Linked DNA regions of Nothobranchius furzeri. The protein of the gene in region 3 purifies or fractionates together with the protein of the main gene of each other region. This does not show direct contact. Links are inferred from orthologs where the notes say so. Each region holds a gene or a part of one and is shown on either strand. Other genes may lie near its edges.

The links.
Region 1: the proteins of cdk5 (region 3) and c2cd5 purify together in Homo sapiens (affinity purification with mass spectrometry; 6 studies listed by BioGRID and IntAct, counting the BioPlex papers as one, with this or other methods). This does not show direct contact. The link is inferred for Nothobranchius furzeri from reciprocal best matches to the Homo sapiens genes CDK5 and C2CD5.
Region 2: the proteins of cdk5 (region 3) and cct3 purify together in Homo sapiens (affinity purification with mass spectrometry; 3 studies listed by BioGRID and IntAct, with this or other methods). This does not show direct contact. The link is inferred for Nothobranchius furzeri from reciprocal best matches to the Homo sapiens genes CDK5 and CCT3.

Annotation. Positions count from the first base shown.
Region 1 is NC_091744.1:70,674,635-70,681,067, reverse strand, and holds part of c2cd5 (C2 domain-containing protein 5), read right to left. Parts: intron 4,515-6,433; coding exon 4,461-4,514; intron 2,980-4,460; coding exon 2,865-2,979; intron 2,286-2,864; coding exon 2,187-2,285; intron 2,101-2,186; coding exon 1,989-2,100; intron 1,898-1,988; coding exon 1,818-1,897; intron 1,729-1,817; coding exon 1,542-1,728; intron 1,394-1,541; coding exon 1,229-1,393; intron 582-1,228; coding exon 537-581; intron 207-536; coding exon 66-206; intron 1-65. UniProt on the Homo sapiens protein: Required for insulin-stimulated glucose transport and glucose transporter SLC2A4/GLUT4 translocation from intracellular glucose storage vesicle (GSV) to the plasma membrane (PM) in adipocytes.
Region 2 is NC_091759.1:9,430,144-9,436,676, forward strand, and holds the start of cct3 (T-complex protein 1 subunit gamma), read right to left. Parts: upstream 3,549-6,533; 5' UTR 3,446-3,548; coding exon 3,418-3,445; intron 2,153-3,417; coding exon 2,091-2,152; intron 1,809-2,090; coding exon 1,758-1,808; intron 1,664-1,757; coding exon 1,601-1,663; intron 1,516-1,600; coding exon 1,419-1,515; intron 1,316-1,418; coding exon 1,198-1,315; intron 1,032-1,197; coding exon 845-1,031; intron 733-844; coding exon 583-732; intron 506-582; coding exon 373-505; intron 267-372; coding exon 185-266; intron 103-184; coding exon 1-102. Other genes in the region: pdia8 (protein disulfide-isomerase A3), read right to left, coding at 4,413-4,502, 4,588-4,645, 4,729-4,808, 4,915-5,043, 5,132-5,240, 6,147-6,329, 6,419-6,533. UniProt on the Homo sapiens protein: Component of the chaperonin-containing T-complex (TRiC), a molecular chaperone complex that assists the folding of actin, tubulin and other proteins upon ATP hydrolysis.
Region 3 is NC_091751.1:49,908,123-49,914,655, forward strand, and holds the end of cdk5 (cyclin-dependent kinase 5), read left to right. Parts: intron 1-1,815; coding exon 1,816-1,912; intron 1,913-3,245; coding exon 3,246-3,315; intron 3,316-3,412; coding exon 3,413-3,473; intron 3,474-3,587; coding exon 3,588-3,668; intron 3,669-3,779; coding exon 3,780-3,866; 3' UTR 3,867-4,137; downstream 4,138-6,533. UniProt on the Homo sapiens protein: Proline-directed serine/threonine-protein kinase essential for neuronal cell cycle arrest and differentiation and may be involved in apoptotic cell death in neuronal diseases by triggering abortive cell cycle re-entry. Interacts with D1 and D3-type G1 cyclins.

The DNA.
Region 1 (6,433 bases), on a different chromosome or scaffold from region 3:
AGACAGCTGATTATTATTGTGACTCATGCAAAGAGGTGAACTGGTGTGCACGTGTTTGTAGACACCTCCAGGACGAAGGCGTCCTTTTTGCCGTGTGATAGATCGAGTTCAGAGAGTTCATCAGAGCTTTCTGAGTGGGAGCGGAAAATTCTGGATCGCTGCCTCGGCTCGGGGATCGGGGAACCCACTCCTTCGTCTGTCAGCTCCTGCGAGCAAAGGAACATGAGTGAACGCTGGATTATTAACATATCAACTAACATACTGACTATGTTAGTAACTCTAGATGCCCACATTCACTCTGTGCTGCTTTACCGACACAAACACACACAAATAAAAAAAAATACAGAGATGGAACTGGGTTAAACTACAACACGTCACACGGACTTGGTGTGAGTTATGCATCACGTCGCTCACAAGTCTGGGGTTAAGAGCCGTCACACAGTTACAGCAAAGTTGGTCAATTATTGCGATTAATGATGTGAAGTATCTGCCATGCTTTGCTGCGTCTCCCAGCTAATATCTGTCATGCTCAGTACCATGGTGGTGCCGCAGAACACCTCTGGGTCCAGGGCAAATAATTTCTTTCAGAAAGAGACAAGAGGAAGTAGATTTACCTCGATTAAAAAAAAAAATGTCCGGAGCACAGACAGCAGTTTAATGACATTTTTTTCTGGAGGGAAGCTGCAGAAATCTTTGACATTTTGGCTGTAGCTTGCTGCCTTTCTTCTCATTTAAAAATAGTTTTTAGCAATTAAAAAGAAGACAGAAGATGGTGTTTATTCAAGCAAACCCCTCTCTTTATACTAAAATCCAACTCTACACAAGCTTGAAATGATTTCCAGATCCAACTAATTTAAATAACTTGTCATTTGGACTGTTTGTGTTACTGTTTAAAAGGAGCATGAAGCTAGAGTGACATCCTGTGGTCAAATGTGAGTACTGCACTCAATGTATCAAAACAAATGAGCCTGCTCTCATTTCACTGTCCTTGTGCATATCTGGAGGTAAATAATGGCAAAGTAAAAATATTTAATATACTTGTTTTGTAAGAAAGCATTGATTTTTATCATCATCTCTGGACTAAAAACAACCCTCCCCACTGGCACCTATTGTGCTGAAGCATTTTTGTACCTTTCCTTTACAACAGAGCCAAAGGAGACCAGACACGATCACAAAACACACGTTCCACCATCTTATTTCCTGTAAAACCCAGAGTTGTGTTTCTCACCGGAGGGTTTATTTGGTAGAGCTCTTTGTTCTTGGCGATGGCATCGTTGATTCTTTTCTGGATAGCTGCAACATGCTGCTCATTGTTCAGGTCGCCGGGAGTCTTCCCAGCAATCTGTATCCCTCCTGGTGCTGGCAGAGCAGTCAGGTACACTCCTGTGGCCGACTGAAAACACACACACACACACACACACACACACACACACACACACACACACACACACACACACACACACACACACACACACACACACACACACTTTTTAGAAGACACAAAAAGTTTTTCTTTTGTGTTTTCTAAAATATGGACCTACAGCTAATCCCAGGAGCATGTTTTCTCCAACACTGATCTGTATGTGGAGTCCAAAGAGAGCGTTCATGCTCCGTAGTTTCAGCTTATTCATCAGCTGAGTGTGCAGCTCGTATTCCATGAAAGGCAACAGGTTCGAAATGGCCGTTGCATTCACTTCTCCCTGGGCTTTCTTCTTCAGACGACACAATCTAGAAGAAAGCAATCGTGAGAATTTGGTATTTTTCAAAGTCTAAGTTGACTAAGGAGGCTATTTGTATATTTCCTGAAGTGTTTCTACCTGGCCTGAATGAGGCAGCCTTTTCCTGTGACAGCTGCTTCTGCTGGCAGATCGATTGTTGTGAAAAGCACATCAGGAACCTTGAAAGAATATGGCTGTTGTTTTAAACTTGTGACCAAGAAGAGAAAAATATAAAACAAACATGTTTTAACCAATTCTTAAGCTAACAACCTTTTGCCGTCTGCACTGGTAACAATACGCGAGCTGGGCAGGAAACGGCATGTTGAGCTCGTCGTATGGGATGTGACAGAAGCCACAGTTGGGAGGTGAAGGATCATCAAACCTGTGCAACGAACCCGACTCTTATTGCATCAAACTCTGAGATGAAACAGAATTCAATTTTTAAAATGTGCAAGAAATCTAATCAACCTGTGGTCGATGCTTCCAACGTCCAGGCAGCCTTCACGCATGTAGCGAGGATTCAAGATGGCTGCTGTGCCTGAAGCTGACAGGATACAGACCTCTTCGCTGTGATCAAAAGAAAATAAAAGAATAGTGGACTTATTTAGAAAGCTGCCTTATGATGTGCTTGACATTTTGCTGGAGGTTGCACTCCCAGGGATTTTTGACCCTAATGGCCATCCATTGGTAAGGTCTTATTTGAACACAAAAATAAGGCTTGCTTGCAATGATTTAGGTATGTACTGCCCCCGATCACCAGGAAAAATACACACCATCACTTTAAGACTCTTTGGGTTAAATTAAACGTTCCCCTTGGATCTGGGGTATCTCAGCGAACCCTGAGCACCAATGCAGCCATTTTGAATAGTATCAATGACTATTGCCATCTTCCTCTTTACCTCCATCTGACCACTTCCTTCTTTTTATGTCTGCTGCAATTTCCTCAGCTGCACCACGAGTCACCGCTGCAACAAGGACATGCAACTCGAAGGCAATAACATTTTTTCTGTGCATCTACATTACTCTCAGAGCTCTAGTCAGCATTCCACTCAAAGTTTTAATAAATGAGGCCTCTGGACATCAAAGACTGAAGCAGCCATTCAAAAAGAACATTTTTCCTGATTTCACGCAGGCGCCGCTGCGTACCAGATGCTCGTGTTCTCACTGTACCCAACGACAGCGTGGCAACCGAGAGCTTTGGCGTGCGATTTGATTTCCTGGCGAATCTCCTCCCACCAGGCATCGCGAGTCTCCGGTTCATCTGTAAAAACACAAAGTGATGAATCAAACAGCTTTAAAAAGCAGCTTTCTAACTTGATAAAATATATTTAACAGGCTTAGGCATCCGTCACAACCTCAAACACACTACTAGTGAGTCTGCATCTAATCTAACGACTCCGACTTACCAGTAAAGTTTACACACACAAAAACCTGGTGGTTTATGAGTCACATGACTTATTAAAGCAAGCAAAAACTGGTTGTCATTTTGTAAAACAAAGTGACACAGAGAATGATTTGTGAGCATTTGGAGACGATAAAGGCAATGTGAGGAGTTTGTGATGTTAGTAGCCTGGCTAGTCCTCGTCTCTGTGTCTCCTTTCAGTCGGCTCCACTCACAGAAAGGACACAGGAAATACGTGTGATCTGTACCTGTGAAGGCACAGTCATGCTAGCTGGAACAGAAGTAGGTAAGAGTACCTGATCTGCTTTTTGGTAAACTTGATCAATTTGAACAGATTGAGACTTTCTCAAATTTTGAGATTCAATAGAAATATCTCTGTGTTGTCGCTGTATGAAGGACTCTAGATTCTACAAGTTGAGCAATTAGAGGAACATTTCAGACATTTTAAGTGGTAAAAATTACAAACAGAACAGCGTCCGATCAACTTCCCCATACAGAGGCTGCTCAGGTGGCTATGTACAACAGGAAATATACACACAGTTCAAAATGGCCATAATATCCCTTTAACTCAACACGGGATGGTTGGTAAACACAAGAGGACTTGAAGGAAAACACAAAAGAGTGTGGCGCCAGAGCCCAACATGCTGACGGAAGCCTCAAAGGAAAAGAAATGGATTTAGGGAAAATGGTGAGTGATCAAACTATAGAGATGAAGAATGAGTGATGATCAGAGTGGGTTCATATAAAACCAGCAGCAGCGTGTCAGACAGGCACAGGCTCACCAACGTGCACACTCATGACTAGAGAAGGGCTATATTCATTCACTAGAGTACATTAAATATTTTTTTAATTAAAAAGAGGGATTAATTTTCCTCACATGCTCGCCCCATCAGTCTGCCTCCATACATCTGTCCATTCATCACTCGTCTCTCCTCTCACTCTCAGTATGAATACGGCCCAGTGAGTTAGGGATGCACATGCCCAGTAGGTGGCTCTATGATGCAGAGCAAACCTCCTAAACCTCCTCTGGTCTAGACAGGTTTGACCACTGACTCAGGAGGCACTAAGAACAACCCTGGGACGACGTCAGCGAAGGGCTGCAGCTCTGGGAAGCAGCAAGATGGGGGGTGGGGGGGAAGGCAGCCAGGCCAGGTTGGATGAAGCAGGGTGATGACACAGAGCATGCTCAGCTCAGCACACACACATACACACAGAGAACAGAAAGAGGAGGATGGCAGCTCAGTGAATTCATACATATATTTAAGTGTAAAAAGTTTAGATTTAGCTCCACTGAACCGCCATCGCTCTGATGGGTGAGAGCAGAAAAAGGGGGAAAATACCTGCAGTGACACTATTCCAGTCTAGCAGTTTGTATGAGCGCGCGTTACCCAAGGCTGGGCCAGAACACACCGTTAGTACAGAAAAGAGAGAGAAAAAGAAAGAAACAAACAAGCACAGCACAACAACAGCACTCCACAGTCACTATGAGAAGACAAACTACAGTCAGGACGATAAAACAATCGCAGAGAGGACTGATGAGGAAAGGAGGAGAATAGAGATGTTACAAAGCATAAAGGACTCCCTAAAAAGCCTAAGAATGAACAATAAGGGGAGTTTTATAATACCAAAAAGAACATGCAATGTTCATTTAACCCTGGCCATGGTTACTGATGTGCTCAGAGGATTTTCTTCTGTGTTCAGTCTAAAAAGCTCGCAAACTCCCCGCCACCGTAGGGGAAGCTTCCACATAAACGTGGAGAATCACACCCGCCAACTCTGCTACGGTTTGCTCTGAAATGGAATACATTTTAATATTTATTTAATTGAATTGCCAAATAATTTAACAAAATATTTAAACTGGGTAGACAAAAAAAACATTAAGATAATGAAAATGTGCTAAAAAGTGAAGTAAAAGAGACAATTTCCTTTAATTTATTACCTAAAAATTATTAAAACTGAGAATATTTTTTTCTAGTAGCTTACAACCTACAACCTATTGATTTGGCAATCTAACTGAAAAAAAACCTCCTGGCTGCCTTTAACTGGTTACCTGTAAAATGTTGCATTCTGTTCAAAATCCTGGCCTTTGTTTTTAACTCACTGTCTGGATCAGCACCACCATATTTAGACTCACTTGTGAACCATTATATCCCTGCTAGGTCTCTACGCTCGGTTCGGAGTGACCTGTTGGTGGTTCCTTGGTCAAAATGGTCAACACGCAAGTCTAGGGTTTACCGCGCATTATCAGTCACAGGTCCTTGGCTCTTAAGCCAACTTCCATCAGATCTAAAACAGTCCACGTCTGGATATTTTTAAAGCTTCATCTTAGATCATTTAGTTAGTTTCATTAATTATTTTAGTGTTTTTCCTGATTGCTCTTTGGTCCTATTGCTTATAATTTTTTATTGTTTTTAATGTTTTATGCTTTCATTTGACCATAATGTGCTTTTACAGAGTTTTTAATGATTATCTGCACTATGTACAGCACCTTGGGGCTTTATAAAAAAAAATCAATGTTTTTCCAGAATCAGTAGAGAAATACTGAGACTGGTATTTCATTTAGTATGACAATATTATTAGCAAAGATGATGTTTTAAAATCTCTGCTTTCGGCCACCATCCCTTCTTTTTGTTTAATCGGGATGGTAAAATAATCAGCAGAATAAATAAAAACTGCATTAGCTGCATGCCTGCATGGAAAACTAGTTATTGACGAGTTGATAATATCGACAAAGCACATAGAAGGCACCACATCCCATCATTCTGCCACCTGCAGCCAGCCAACAGACTGGAGCCATGCACATTATAAAAAAATCCCCATCACACCCTGCAGCAAAAAAAACAAAACACAAACACACACACCACCTGACCAGCACAAATGTACACAATTCCAGTCAAACAATGAAGTGATATGAAGCTAGAATTGGGACAATATTACATGCAACTTGTACCAAGTTTTGTAACATGTTTTGTAACTGTAACTTTCATTTTGTAGCATGTCAATCACATTTTGTAAAATATAACTTTTGTTTTGTAACAAATAATTCTCATTTTGTAAAATGTAACTTTAGTTTTGTAGCATGTAACTTTTGTTACGTAACAACTTTGTGTGTTTTGAGTGTTGTGAATTGATACTTGTACATTGATTTGTTTTCTGCAAGTTACAAAATAAAAATGTTCATGTTACGTACCAAAAGTTACATGTTACAAAATGACAGATAAGTGTTACAAAACATGATAAACATGAATAAAGTTACGCGTTACAAAACGTGAATTACATGCTACAAAATGAAAGTTACAGTTACAAACATGCT
Region 2 (6,533 bases), on a different chromosome or scaffold from region 3:
TACTCATCTCCGATCTTCTTTACTTCAAACAGCCCGGCCTTCAAACCAATATCTTCCTCACGCAGTTCGTCTGTTCGGCTCACAATTCGAGCTCCACACGCCCTGAAAAACACAGCAAGCGTATAAAGCTATGTCAGAGTAGGACTGACTTGGTTAAAGTTCTCTGCGTAACAAACAAATATACCTGGCAATGCGGTTGTTGTCAGTCTTCCTCACACGGCGAATGGCAGTGATGTTTGCCTTCACCAAGTAGTGCTGAGCCAGATCTGAACGAGTAAAGAAGAGTTAGGACTGAATAACAGTTCTTTTTAAGCTGCCTTTGTAATGCAAAGACTGAACAACAGAGAAAAACACCAAAAGTTGTTCAGGTACCTGAAATGCCCTTTTCAGTGAAGACCAAGTCTGGTTTGAGGCGGATGATGTCCTCACAGATCTGATGGATGTATTCTTCCTCCAGCTGTAGGATCTTGGCAAAGTCCTCCTCCTTAGTTATCTCTATGTCTGTCTGTAGAATAAATGTGAGTTAAATACTGATTTATATAATCTGGTTATGTTCTAAGACAAAGAAGCAGCTCACTATACCTGGCTCTCCCCCTTTTTGTACTCCAGAGAACAGTCCAGCAGGAGGATACGGGGATTTTTGATCATTCGCCTCATTCTTGGGTGAGTCACATCTTTGTTCACCATCACTCCTTTCAGCACACAGGAATCCTCGATGATTCCACCTGGAACCTGAACACAACACGGGAGATGTGAGACAAAAGAATGAATGCAATTAATGCAGGAAACACTTGATCTTCTGTTCTAACCTAAAGTGATCAGGTGTAATGAGCAACAGTCGTACCTTCTCTACTTTGGCGTACTTCTTGATGTCAATCTCTTTGCGCCCGTTCTCTTCCAGCTCCACCGTACGAACGGCGTCCAGCGCGATGTTGCAGGCCAGCTCCGACCAGCGGCTCAGAGCTTTGGTGTTGATGGCAGAGTGAACAATCTTCAGCATCATGGAGCGGTCTGAAGTGTCCACGGGGATGCTGGAGGAGGACAACAATATTCAGTCAAACTTCCTGTACAAGTTTCACAAAATTAACTCATTCATAAATGTGTAATGTTATTTCTAAGCTGCTGTTTGGTTGGCTTACAACAAATCAAAAATAATTATAATGTAACAAGGAGGCGATGGAAACTGTCAGACTCTACCTGATTTCCTTCAGTGTGTCCAACATGTCCTCCAGAGCCTGTCTGTAAGCACTGATGATCACTGTTGGATGCATCTGCTGCTCCAGAAACTGTTCAGCTACAGCCAACATCTCTCCAGCTGAAATTTGAGACATTAAATGACGGATGTTAAATAAAACAAACTGAATTCCCTCTAAAGGGGAAGTCTGAGCTTCTTTAGATTAAAAATAAAGCTTTTATACCCAGTATGATGACTGATGTGGTCCCATCTCCCACCTCTTCATCCTGTGTGCGACTGATCTCGATCATCGACTTGGCTGCGGGATGCTGTACCTGAATCTGTTGCCATGGAGAAGCAGGATGTTATGAAACACTGAAGGAATTGATGAAGTGACAAACTTCCAAGTGTTTATGTGACCCTGACCTCTCGGAGGATGGCATTTCCATCGTTTGTCATTACGATTCCTCCTGTAGGGTCAAGCAACATCTAGACAAAATGACATGAAAACATGGAATATTACGGACTTATTTTATTTTTGTAAATGACTGGGTGCGGTGATTCTCTGTATAGACAAACTCACCTTCATCATGGCCCGTGGGCCGAGGCAGGTCCTGATCACATCGGCTATGGTCTAAAATAGATTGCACAAGAACAATATATGTAAGGGCTGGGGGAATAAAACAATTTTAAAACAAATGAAGCATTTTTCTCTTCAGAGACTGATCTCAGTCTATTAAGAGGAATTTCTACTCTAGTCTGGCCTTTTCTTTCCCAGCTACTCAACGTCTCCATATTAAAAACAAAAAAACAGCCTAGATTGGCTAATCTCAAACATTAAACAGTTTTCTTCCGCACTCAAAAGACAGATGAGACTGTCTAACACAAGCTTTAACGTTTTACAGCAACAACTGACCTTTGCTGCATTGATGTTTCCAGTTTGGACTTTACGTCCTGATTCTCTCTTCACATTCTGGTCTAAAAAGAGACAAGAAAACAGAGAAATCACTACAGAGTCACCTAATTGAAGGGTGTTTTTGCTTCAAAACACAGATAGCCATTATTTCGAGTGACCCAATTAAATGACTAGCAATTCGAAATTGTTGGTTTTAAAGAAGTAATTTATCAGTATGGTTAGCAATCCCATGCCTGCCAGATCGATAACAAACCAACACATTACATTAAAAAAAATCAATAAAAACAGCTGTGTATAAATATGTGACAGATCATTTTTGACAAATGTCCAACACTGTTAAAATGCTTCAAAATTAATGAATATGATTTACCAGTCACGTAGGCCAAAGTGCATCTATGACTAGAATCCTTTGTAGTAAATTATTCTCCTTACTAACTGAGTTGTTGCATCTTTATTTAAAATCAATTTTGTTGGATTGTATCATTAAACTAGTAATATCTATACAGCTAAATAAAACATTTTCTTATTGCATTCCAAATAAAATGAGTGTTTCGAATATTTAAATAATTTTTTTGTTGTCGTAATTTTTTTATTATGTTATACTCTTCTTTTTAGCTCCTATAATGAATTTAATTGCTGCTGTGACACCAAAATCCCCCCACTGAGGGAGCTATCTATTCTAGTCTAAAATAATTGTAAAGACAAAATGGACGGAATATACCAGTACAGATAGAGCTTTCGTGATTTCAGACACTATGAATGAATGAATTTTGATTTTTGCAGGATAACAATGCTGTCAATTCGCAATTACAGGCTATCAAATAGATCAATCGAAATCGGAATGTATTAAAGCGGATGCTTATTTTGTTGTTCAGTTCAGTCACAGCGCACACACAAAACTAATTCAAAATCGTGTTTAATAGCTGCATCAAAGGTAATTTCATGTCTTTTTTAATTATTATATAATGTTCGCAGTTGTCTAACTGCACGCTCATGATGAGTAAGAGGACTGTTAGCTTAAGCTAGCCTAGCCTAGCATACCTACACGCTTTCCGCTACTTCCGAACACGAGCTAAATATGCTAATGATGCCGGTTGGGTGTGGATGCTATCAGTAGCATGTAGGCTAACAATGCTAATACCGGTGGAAGAAGCTGATGCTCGGCTGAGTTATAACAGTTGGTTAGCGCATCCTTAGCTGCTTTGTGTCCCAGCCGATCTGCCCCGCGTTCAAACGGTCACAAAATTGACTAAATTGCAGAAACTGGCGGGAAGTAACCGACATCTAACTATTGAAAGTATAGTTAAGAACAAATTTCGATACTTACTAAGCACTAAAACCTGCTGGCCGAGCATTTTGAGACCACGACGCTAACAGCACTAGCCTCGAAGGTTCTGGGTGGCACGAGGAGAGGGACGGCTCAGACAAAATGGGCAAGACATTACTTGAGGTCCGGCCAATTAGCAAAGACTATTATTTTTGATTGACATGCGCATTCACCAATAGAGTGAATGAGGTAAACTCTTCTAGTAATAGGCCTTTTATGGAGAAAACCTAATAGAAATAGAACCCACAACGATTTAGCAAAAAAAAAAAAAAATTTTTTTTACGAAGATTGAAAATGACTTTTATGTGTTTTAACACTCGTGGAACTTGCAAAGTTTGTTCAGTTGATCCCAGCTATTATTATTAAGCTTTATTACAACACACAGGCATGGAAATAATGGTTGAGCAAACTCAGGCACACTGAAGTATAATTTAAAAATTAAATTTCTTTTTAAATCCCATCATAAAAACAACGGCTGAAAACAATTTTACAAAAGCTATTAAGGCGTATTAATTCATGAGAATTTAATTAACAGTCAGTTGTCAAGCATGGTTTTATTACATAATCTCAGCAGAGCTTCTCAACATAACAAAGCTCACAAAATAACCAAAGACTGCCAAAGTATAAGTAATTAAGTCAATAAATAAATAAATAAATAAAAACTAAACACAGCACCAAATACAAACTGCACAGATGGTATTATATCAAAATGCATTTAGTTTTCTGGAATAAAAAAACAAAGAATTGCACATGAAATGGCTTTATAAATGAATAAATATATAAATAGTTCTATTCAGCAAGGACATGGTTTTAGAGGGGAGTATGGAAAGAATCTGATTGGTAGAAACAAAAATGGGTGGACCATGTCCTGATTCGTTGTTTCTGGTGTGTCACCAGGAGCAGAGCTCTTGCTGCCCATTCATGTCTGTGTAGCTGTTACAAGACTTGATCTTTTTGTTAATCAAAGTCAGTTCTGATCAGTAGGTGAATCTTTGTCACAGTTCGTCCTTAAACCCAGTCAGCACCAGACCATGACTCGCCTCACTCTTCAGGAACTTTAGGAAGTCTTTGAGCTCTCGAGTGCCCTGAAATCAAGATGTCCCACAACCATTAGACATCATGTGTCTCAAAGATTGATGAACTCAAGCTGAAACTATTAAAACTTGGTACCTGGTATCGAATGGGCTCATCCTTTTTACCCACTGGAGCAAAATAGATGGTTGGAAACCTGGAGAGAAGAATAAAATCATAGGAAATAAAGACTCATGAATTTTCTTCTTTAAAAGTGCTCATCAACATCGTCATCCTCACCCTTGGACATCGTATCCCAGTGGGATGTCATTATAGACGGCGTTCATCTTGGCAATGACAATGTTTGGGTCAGAATGCAACTGAGAACACATAAAGAGCATTTTCAGATTACTATCAGAGCAACACGACCTAATTCTAGAGTTTAGTGCACTGAAACTTAATCAAAAATACAATAAAGCTGTGTACCGTGTCAGCCAGCTCTCTGTAGACCGGCTCCAGCTTCTTGCAGTGTGGACATAGCGGGGAAAAAAACTGAATCAGAACATCTTTAGCAGGATCGTTCACGATTTCATCAAATGATTCTGCGACAACCACCTGCGGTGTTGAAGACAAAAGGAGGTCAGCACAAATTTTTTACAATCAGTATTTACAATCAGTCACGCTCACAAGCAGCTCAGCTCACCTTAACAGGAGCCGTGTTTTTCTCAGGTAAAGGTTCTGATTTTATGTAACGTTTGAGACGACCGGCAAAATAATCTTCAAGGAACCTCCCCAGTGACTGACCATCCCTCCTGAAACACACCAGTCAACTTTTAGTATCCTGAAGACTGACCAGCTGTCATTCATGCAATGTGAGCAGCATTTTCAAGACAGGGTATCTGCAGGTTTAAGGGAGCCAAATTTAAGACTTTTTAAGACCTTTTTAAGGCCACTTTGACCAAATTTAAGCTTGTCGTCGTCTTCCTCCACTTATCCGGGTCCGGGTCACGGGGGCAGCATCCCAACTAGGGAGCACCAGACCATCCTCTCCCCGGCCACCTCCACCAGCTCCTCCGGCAGGATCCCAAGGCGTTCCCGGACCAGATTGGAGATGTAACCTCTCCAACGTGTCCTGGGTCAACTCGGGGGCCTCCTGCCGGCAGGACAAGCCTGAAACACCTCCCCAGGGAGGCGTCCAGGAGGCATCCTGACCAGATGCCCAAACCACCTCAACTGGCTCCTTTCGATCCAGATCCAAATTGAAGCTATTTTTTAAATTAATTTTAAGCTATAATTTCTAGCTATTGCCTGGAACCGGTGCTAACCACGTCGCAAACATGGGATTAGCCATCCAGTTACCATTAAACTTGCACTTCTCCATGGCGCAAGCTCCCACTAGCTTAACCAGCTAACGTGCTCATCTAAAAATAGTCCCCTTTCACAACCAACTGAATGTGTACGGTTCCGCTTACGCCAGTATCGTACACAAAAAATGCTGAAATTCACGAAAATGTCATAGAAATAAAATAATCTAGTTTATTGGGTCTTTGGTAATTTAAGACCTTTGGAAACTGTATTTAAGGATTATTTGTCATTTTTAAAGATTTTCAAGGCCTTTGGAAAAGTAAATTTAAGGACCCGCGGATACCCTGCAAGAGAAAATTAATGAATAAAAGCATTTCAATGGACGTTTAGCCCCGTTTGACCCTAAAACCTACGTGAATTCTTCCCTCATGACATATTTGTGTCCCAGTTTGGTCCGGATTGTGACAAACGGGAGCTCTCCTCCATCTGATGTTCCCAGACCATATTCGTCCTCCAGCTCAGCTTGGAAGTCCTTTTTATTGGCTACTGAGAACATTAAACCACGCCCAGTGTATTTAGATGCCACCTTCATCACCCTGGTGACAGGACATACAGCAAAGAGATCTAAACACACATTTCCTGTCCACACACTCAACCACCTGCCACCTGTATGTTTGTATGCTACCTGTTCCTCCAGTAGTTGGACCCTCTAACGTTGTGATGATAATCCAAGTCATAATACGCCGTCAAGAGGTCACGAACTCTCAGACGATCTCGGGTCTCCAGCGTCATGTGAGGAC
Region 3 (6,533 bases):
ATTTTGTAACTTGCAGAAAACAATCAATGTACAAATTTCAAATTACAACTTTCAACACACAAATCTCAGTCTACAAGTACAAAACATTTTGTCCAAATTCTAGCTTCCTTCCCAAAGAACCAATGACAGGCTTTGTCTGACCAGCCAATCATGAGTCTTGGATTCCTTTTCAAATAAAATTCCTGTTTCCTGCAAGCTAGAATTGTTCCTAAATGTTTTGTATTTGTAGACTTGAGTTTTGTAACTAGACTGAGATTTGTGTGTTGAAAGTTGTAATTTGAAATTTGTACATTGTTTTCTGCAAGTTGCAAAATGAAAGTTTCATGGTATGTACCGAAGTTAAGCCGGGCGTACACTGTGCGACTTTTTCACTTTTTTGAGCCGATTTTCCAGTCGTGCGAGAATCCACGACATCGGGGCGAGTTTTGCGCCGAGCGGTCGTGTAGTGTGCAGGGGGTTACGAGAGGCGATTAACACCACGTGACCAGCCGCCGATCAGCAGTCGTGAGGTCGCAGGGACTTCTGGTGTGTTTAATATTTTGCTCATCCCTCGTGAGGGTATCGCACTGTTGAAGCAGCGCTGCGAGCAGCTGCGAGCAGCTACGATCCAAAAAAGTATCAGAACCGCTCACGGCGCATGCGCGCGCAATCCTGCATCAACGCCGGCCGGTCGCTCGCTATTTCCCTAATAACACACGCTGTTCGTTTTTGTTTCTACACGTTTTTTTTACTCACAAAGATTGTCAAGAAAGCGTGTTTGTCGTGTTCATGTCAAATTAAACTGATCACAAAACACAGATTCACTTTCTTTATTTCATTTTCCTCATTCAACCCCCATAAGTCTCTGTGTGTCCTCCTGCAGCACTCCCGAAGGACAACAGGCAAGACAAAAAAGTCTGACGTGTTGAGTAAAAACTGCTATTTTTAGCACATTTTTAGGGCCGACGTGTTGCTACCAGACGTACAGTGTGAGCAGTCAGATCGCATGCGAGAACTGGGTCGTACAGTGTGAGCACACGACTCGTGAGATCTGCTCTGCGAGGAAGTCGTACAGTTTGAGCTGAAGCTGAACGCTGCGAGTGAAAAAGTCGCACAGTGTACCCCCGGCTTTACATGTTACAAAATGAAAATTACATTCTACAACGTCATAGTTACAAAACATATTACAAGTTACAAAACTAAGTACAAGTTTAATGTAATATTGTCCCAGTCCTAGTTCCATAGTTTTTTATATGTTGGGACCGGGACTTCTTTACTCATTATTTATCCTATTTCTTCAAACCTTTTAGCAAAACTTCTAAAGAATTCTTCTGCAGCTTGAAGTTAAACACCAAAAGTTACTTCTGTCAGTTTTAAACAAACTCGGTAGTATAAACAAGCACAGCTGTTTCAGGAGAAATCTTGCACCTTCTGTGAAGCTTTTTGTTTTTCTACAGGGTGTTCCTTTACCTCAGTGACACGTTCAGTTCATTCATGTACAAAATGCTGTTTCAGTAACAGGTGGCCACATCATTAACATCAGCATCGCTGTGAGAACTTTTGATCCTTTGTTGCTGAAAACCAGCCAGCCCACACACTGTTCTGTTAATGCATCATAATTTGGACTTCTACTGCACTTCAGGTGACAGTGTTTTCCAAAACTTGGAGGAATAAATGTAAAATAGCCGGCAATGCAGCAATTTGGTCAAATGCACCAACGCTTGAGTTAAAATGGAGGTGGGTGTAGGTTAACGGTGCTGCGGGAACTTCAAGTTGGATTCACCTCAAAAAGCACCAAAACACTGGGCTGTTGTAATGCTGCTAACGTCTCTGCAGGTGGTGACGTTGTGGTATCGACCTCCAGATGTCTTATTTGGCGCTAAACTTTATTCTACCTCCATCGACATGTGGTCAGCCGGGTGCATATTTGCAGGTTTGTTATTTTTTTCCACTTGTGAATGTGAAAGGTAAAGTTTTTATAAGTCATTATTTGTGTGTAAATGGTTAAATATTCATATTTTATCTACTTTAGTAATTTGATTACTATTAGCTAATAATTACAACTGCAGTTTTATCTCATGCAATTCTTTTACTTTGTACAAAATAAAATCCAGATGTATAAGAATGCATGGGAAGTTCAGGTGCAGTAAGCACAGTGGCTTTTTAGCTGATGAGGAGAATTTATTTAGCCAAATATGTATTTTAAGTTTCAGCTCAATTACTCTCAACAGTAGCTGAAGGATTATTTATGCCTGCTTAAGTGAAATCAGTGACACCGTTGATGCTTTAAATTATGCTAACTTATGCTTCCTCACGTCCTCTTGTGAATCAGAAATCATTTCCTCCTCCTCCATCACTCAGGAAAGGGAAATCTCCTCTTGTAATCACCCCAAGGGGATGAGAGGATTCTGAAGAGTAGTTATTCAAAGTTGTGACCTTCCTCACACCTGTCCCTCGTGCCTTCTCTCAAAGTAATTGTTGGGAATATTTTAGATATTAGATATCTTCCCACACAGGAGACTACAACTGTTTCCTCGGTAGAAATGGAGCAGTCCTGATGGTGGTTGTCACTGGTCCTGCTTCTGCTGTGTGTGCGCATTCAGTTTCACTTTTGTTTTTGTCCGTGCCCGTGCTATTGTCTTGATTTTTAATAGGTAGCCGCCACCTGGTGGCGTTAACCACGGTTAATAGTCAAACTGGTTAATCCTGCCACAGCCTCCAATGTAGACCGCACCAATGTTCACTCTTTGTCCAGTTCATGCTTTCTTTGCTTTGCCTCTCTTTTTACTTCCAGGCACCACCATGATGCAAACAAAAAACTCTTCTTTTTACACTTTTTTTTAACTAATGATCAACAAACTAAAAAGAGCTACCTGGTAGCCTTTTTATTAGCTACCAGCATAGTAAACACCCCAACTGTTGCTGCACCTCTCACTTGTCCTTTCCTGAACCACAAAGTTGCTTGGTGCAGTTTCTGGCCAGAAGAGAGCTGCAGAGTGCTGTCACATGTGAAGCTGCTCAACTTCGGGTTCAAGAACCACTGAAACCAGCTTGAAAGCATTACCTTAAACTGTTAAACTCTTTAGTGTTTCTTTAAAGAGCAAGTCACCCTCCCACCAGAGTCTCACTCCACCTACACTTCCTGTTTGAAACCAAAAGGAGGTGTCGCCTGGTGGACCAAGAGAGCGGTGCTGAGGCATTGATTAGGGAACACTTGTTCAAGTGTTGCATTTAAAAAAATCCGATGTTTTGTTGTTTTGCTCTAGAGCTGGCTAATGCTGGACGGCCATTATTCCCTGGCAATGACGTGGACGACCAGCTGAAAAGAATCTTCAGATATCCTTTGCCAGTAAATCTGTCCATCTGTTACCAAGAGTAGACTTCTGTTTTTATTATTATTCCTGTAAACATTTAGTCTTTAACCACTGCCTACATTGTTGGGAACACCCACCGAGGAACAGTGGCCGACTATGACGAAGCTTCCTGATTACAAGGTAAATTTAGTGGCTGATTTTCTCTTGACAGCAGCCTTGGACGTTGGTTCCAACACAAGATTTTTGGACCTTTTTTCCAATAAAGACACTGCTACTCTTGTATTCTTCCACCAGCCATATCCCATGTATCCAGCCACCACATCACTGGTGAACGTGGTTCCCAAGCTAAGCAGCACAGGACGAGATCTACTGCAGGTACTTCAACATTTCTATTTATAAAAAAATAATTCAATGCATGACTGTTGTCAGCTTTTATGCTTTGCACAGATTGTTGCTCATTAAAACCTTTCCCTTGATCTGATCCAGAACCTGTTGAAATGTAATCCTGTCCAGAGGATTTCAGCGGAAGAGGCCTTGCAGCACCCTTACTTTGCTGATTTCTGCCCACCCTAAACACTAAATTGCTCCTTACTGAGGATCAGAGACACAGGAACCAATAATCCATCACTCGTTTTATCATTAGAACCACCTCTCAAACCCCTCACTGGTACTTGAGCAGTTCGTTCTTTTGTGCCTGTGTGTGAAACAAAGCCCCGGTGGCTCTGCTGTGTTTTAGGGCCTTCTAAGTTAAATGCCTGTGTAATTTGGTCCAAACACACCTCAGCCAGTTAGCACCAACATGAGCAGATGTTGCATTGAATAAATTTTTTTTTATATATTCCTAGAATTGTTTATTTCCTGCTATTTTGCCTGTTTTAATAGTGTTTTATTATCAGAATTTTAATTTATTAAGTTTTAACTGGGATTTGTCCTAATCGATACTCATTTAACTTGTTTAATTATCTCAGATGCTTGAGAATCAAAGTGCTTGTATATAACGCATCAATTACTCACTCAGCCTTTGTAAAAGAGTCAGTAGTATCCCTAAGGAAGTAGCTTAAACCGACTGAATCTGCAGAGATGTGTACAGACATTTTAATCCCCTTAACAAATATTTATACTAGCAGGAATGGGAAAATGTGAAAGTAAATGAGCTCAGACAGCGACTGAAATCCTGTGACTCTGGACAAATAATGTAAAGATGGCAGTAGATGTGAAGTCTTTTATGAGATTTTTTGCACACACTGATTTTATTATTATTGTACCCACTTGGGTACTTGACACAGACCAAACAGACAGCTCAGTTCTGCATTAACGTGTCCGGACAGTCCCCAAATCACGTCACACAACCTTTGATCAGAGCTGGATCAGTCCCTCGTTCTCTCTCTGAACTTCCACATACAACATCTATGTGCAGTAAAGATGCACCAAACCTGATCTTTAAGTAGTTTTGTGTATATATACAAATCTATAGCGTCAGCCATTTATTATGACCATGTTTAAATCTGTAAGTCACAAGATCCGTGTATATTTATCTAAATTTTTGGAGCTTGTTTGTTAGTGGTAAGTTGCCAAAAGCTACAAAAGGCCATGCTCGTCTACAACGCGACTCATTTATCTCATCAGAGGTTTAAATGCTTATGGACATTCACTAATTGTGTCTATTTCTAGATTGCAAAATAATAGAAACTAATTTAGTTCTTTCTTAGTTATTTCATGCAATTTATCTGTTTTTCCTATTTCCACCAGTAGTGTTCATTAACTTTACACTTCTTCAAAAAATTACAGCCATCAATAAATAGAATAGTGACATTTTATGGCTCTTTTATATTTATTATGGTTTATATATTTTGGGGGGTAGAAATGCAAATAAAATGACAAGAATCAGTTTCACATTTTTTATGATTGTTTTCACCAGTATCAGTTTCCATTTGTAACATGTTATAACAGCTGTTTGTTTCATCTCCATGGTTACTGCTGCTGTATGAAGCCAACAGCATGAGTGTTGTCTAACGCATCTGTCTCACTAAACCGTTTTTCCATTTAATTATGTGAGACAATGAATGCATGTATTTATTAAGAATGGAGTGTTTTTATTCTTATTTATGAAATGTACCAAACATTTTTCTATTGTACAGAAACATTCTCTGTAGAAAAGTTGTTTTATTGCCTCTTTTTAGATTTTGTTTTACAGCTTTTTCAAACTTAAATGAAGGGTTGGTTTTGCACTTTGACCTCTGTTTTGGCTAGAACCTGGGAGAAACATTGTGACTGTATGTTTAAGCCACTAAGACACAGTAAAATCTGCACAAATATATCTTTTCAATTATATGTGAAATTATTTGCAGGATTTTTAATGCAGATTTTCTATTTTTGTTGGTTTGATCAACACAAAATGTGGATTAGTAATTAAATATAGACAGTTCAGTAATGGAAAGTTTTCCTAATTAGTACAATTTTGAAAGTTTCACATCATTCTAGGTCTTTTGGAATTTATAATTTGTATTTGACTTTTGTATCTGATAAGATTATTGAGCAGAAAACACTTATTTATTTTTCAAATATGATTGGTCACTATGAAAGTAACATGCAGGCTGAATGTGAAAATAGTCATTTACCCCTATTTCCTGCATTAGCTGCTGATAGTCAGGCAAACATGCGATTACAAAAGCCAGTCAGATCTCCGTCACCCTGAAAATTAGCATTCATGGACTCACCCATCTTGGTTTGCAATAGGCCCAATCCCAATACTCGCACTGCGCCCTACATCTTCTGTGAAGTGCTTTTGGAGGAAGTGTGCAGCAAGGCTTTGAGTGCATGGTACACGAGTGTCCAAATAATTGCCAAATTGGGACAAAAAGCATTGCATCATTGACCACTATGCATGCTGGGATGCTGGTAGCAGTGCTACATAATAAATAAATAAAACTTAACAACCAAAGAGTTGTTTGAAAGAAATTTATATTCATTGCTGCTTTGTCCAAAAAATTCAGAGCATCAATTGTCCTAAAATTAACTACTTTCATTTGAAAATACATATTTTCAAAAAAGGCACTTGAGCCTTTTCTCCCGCAGCAATGGATTGTGGGTAATAGCCTTCAGTCAAGTCTGCATTGATGCAGACGTGGGATAAGTGCAGATTAAGGGTGCAAAAGGGGCGTGACCAACTTCCACACTCTGGCCAGGACTGCTCAATTGAAGGGTGCAAGTGTGGAAGTGCGAGTGTTAGGATTGGACCTC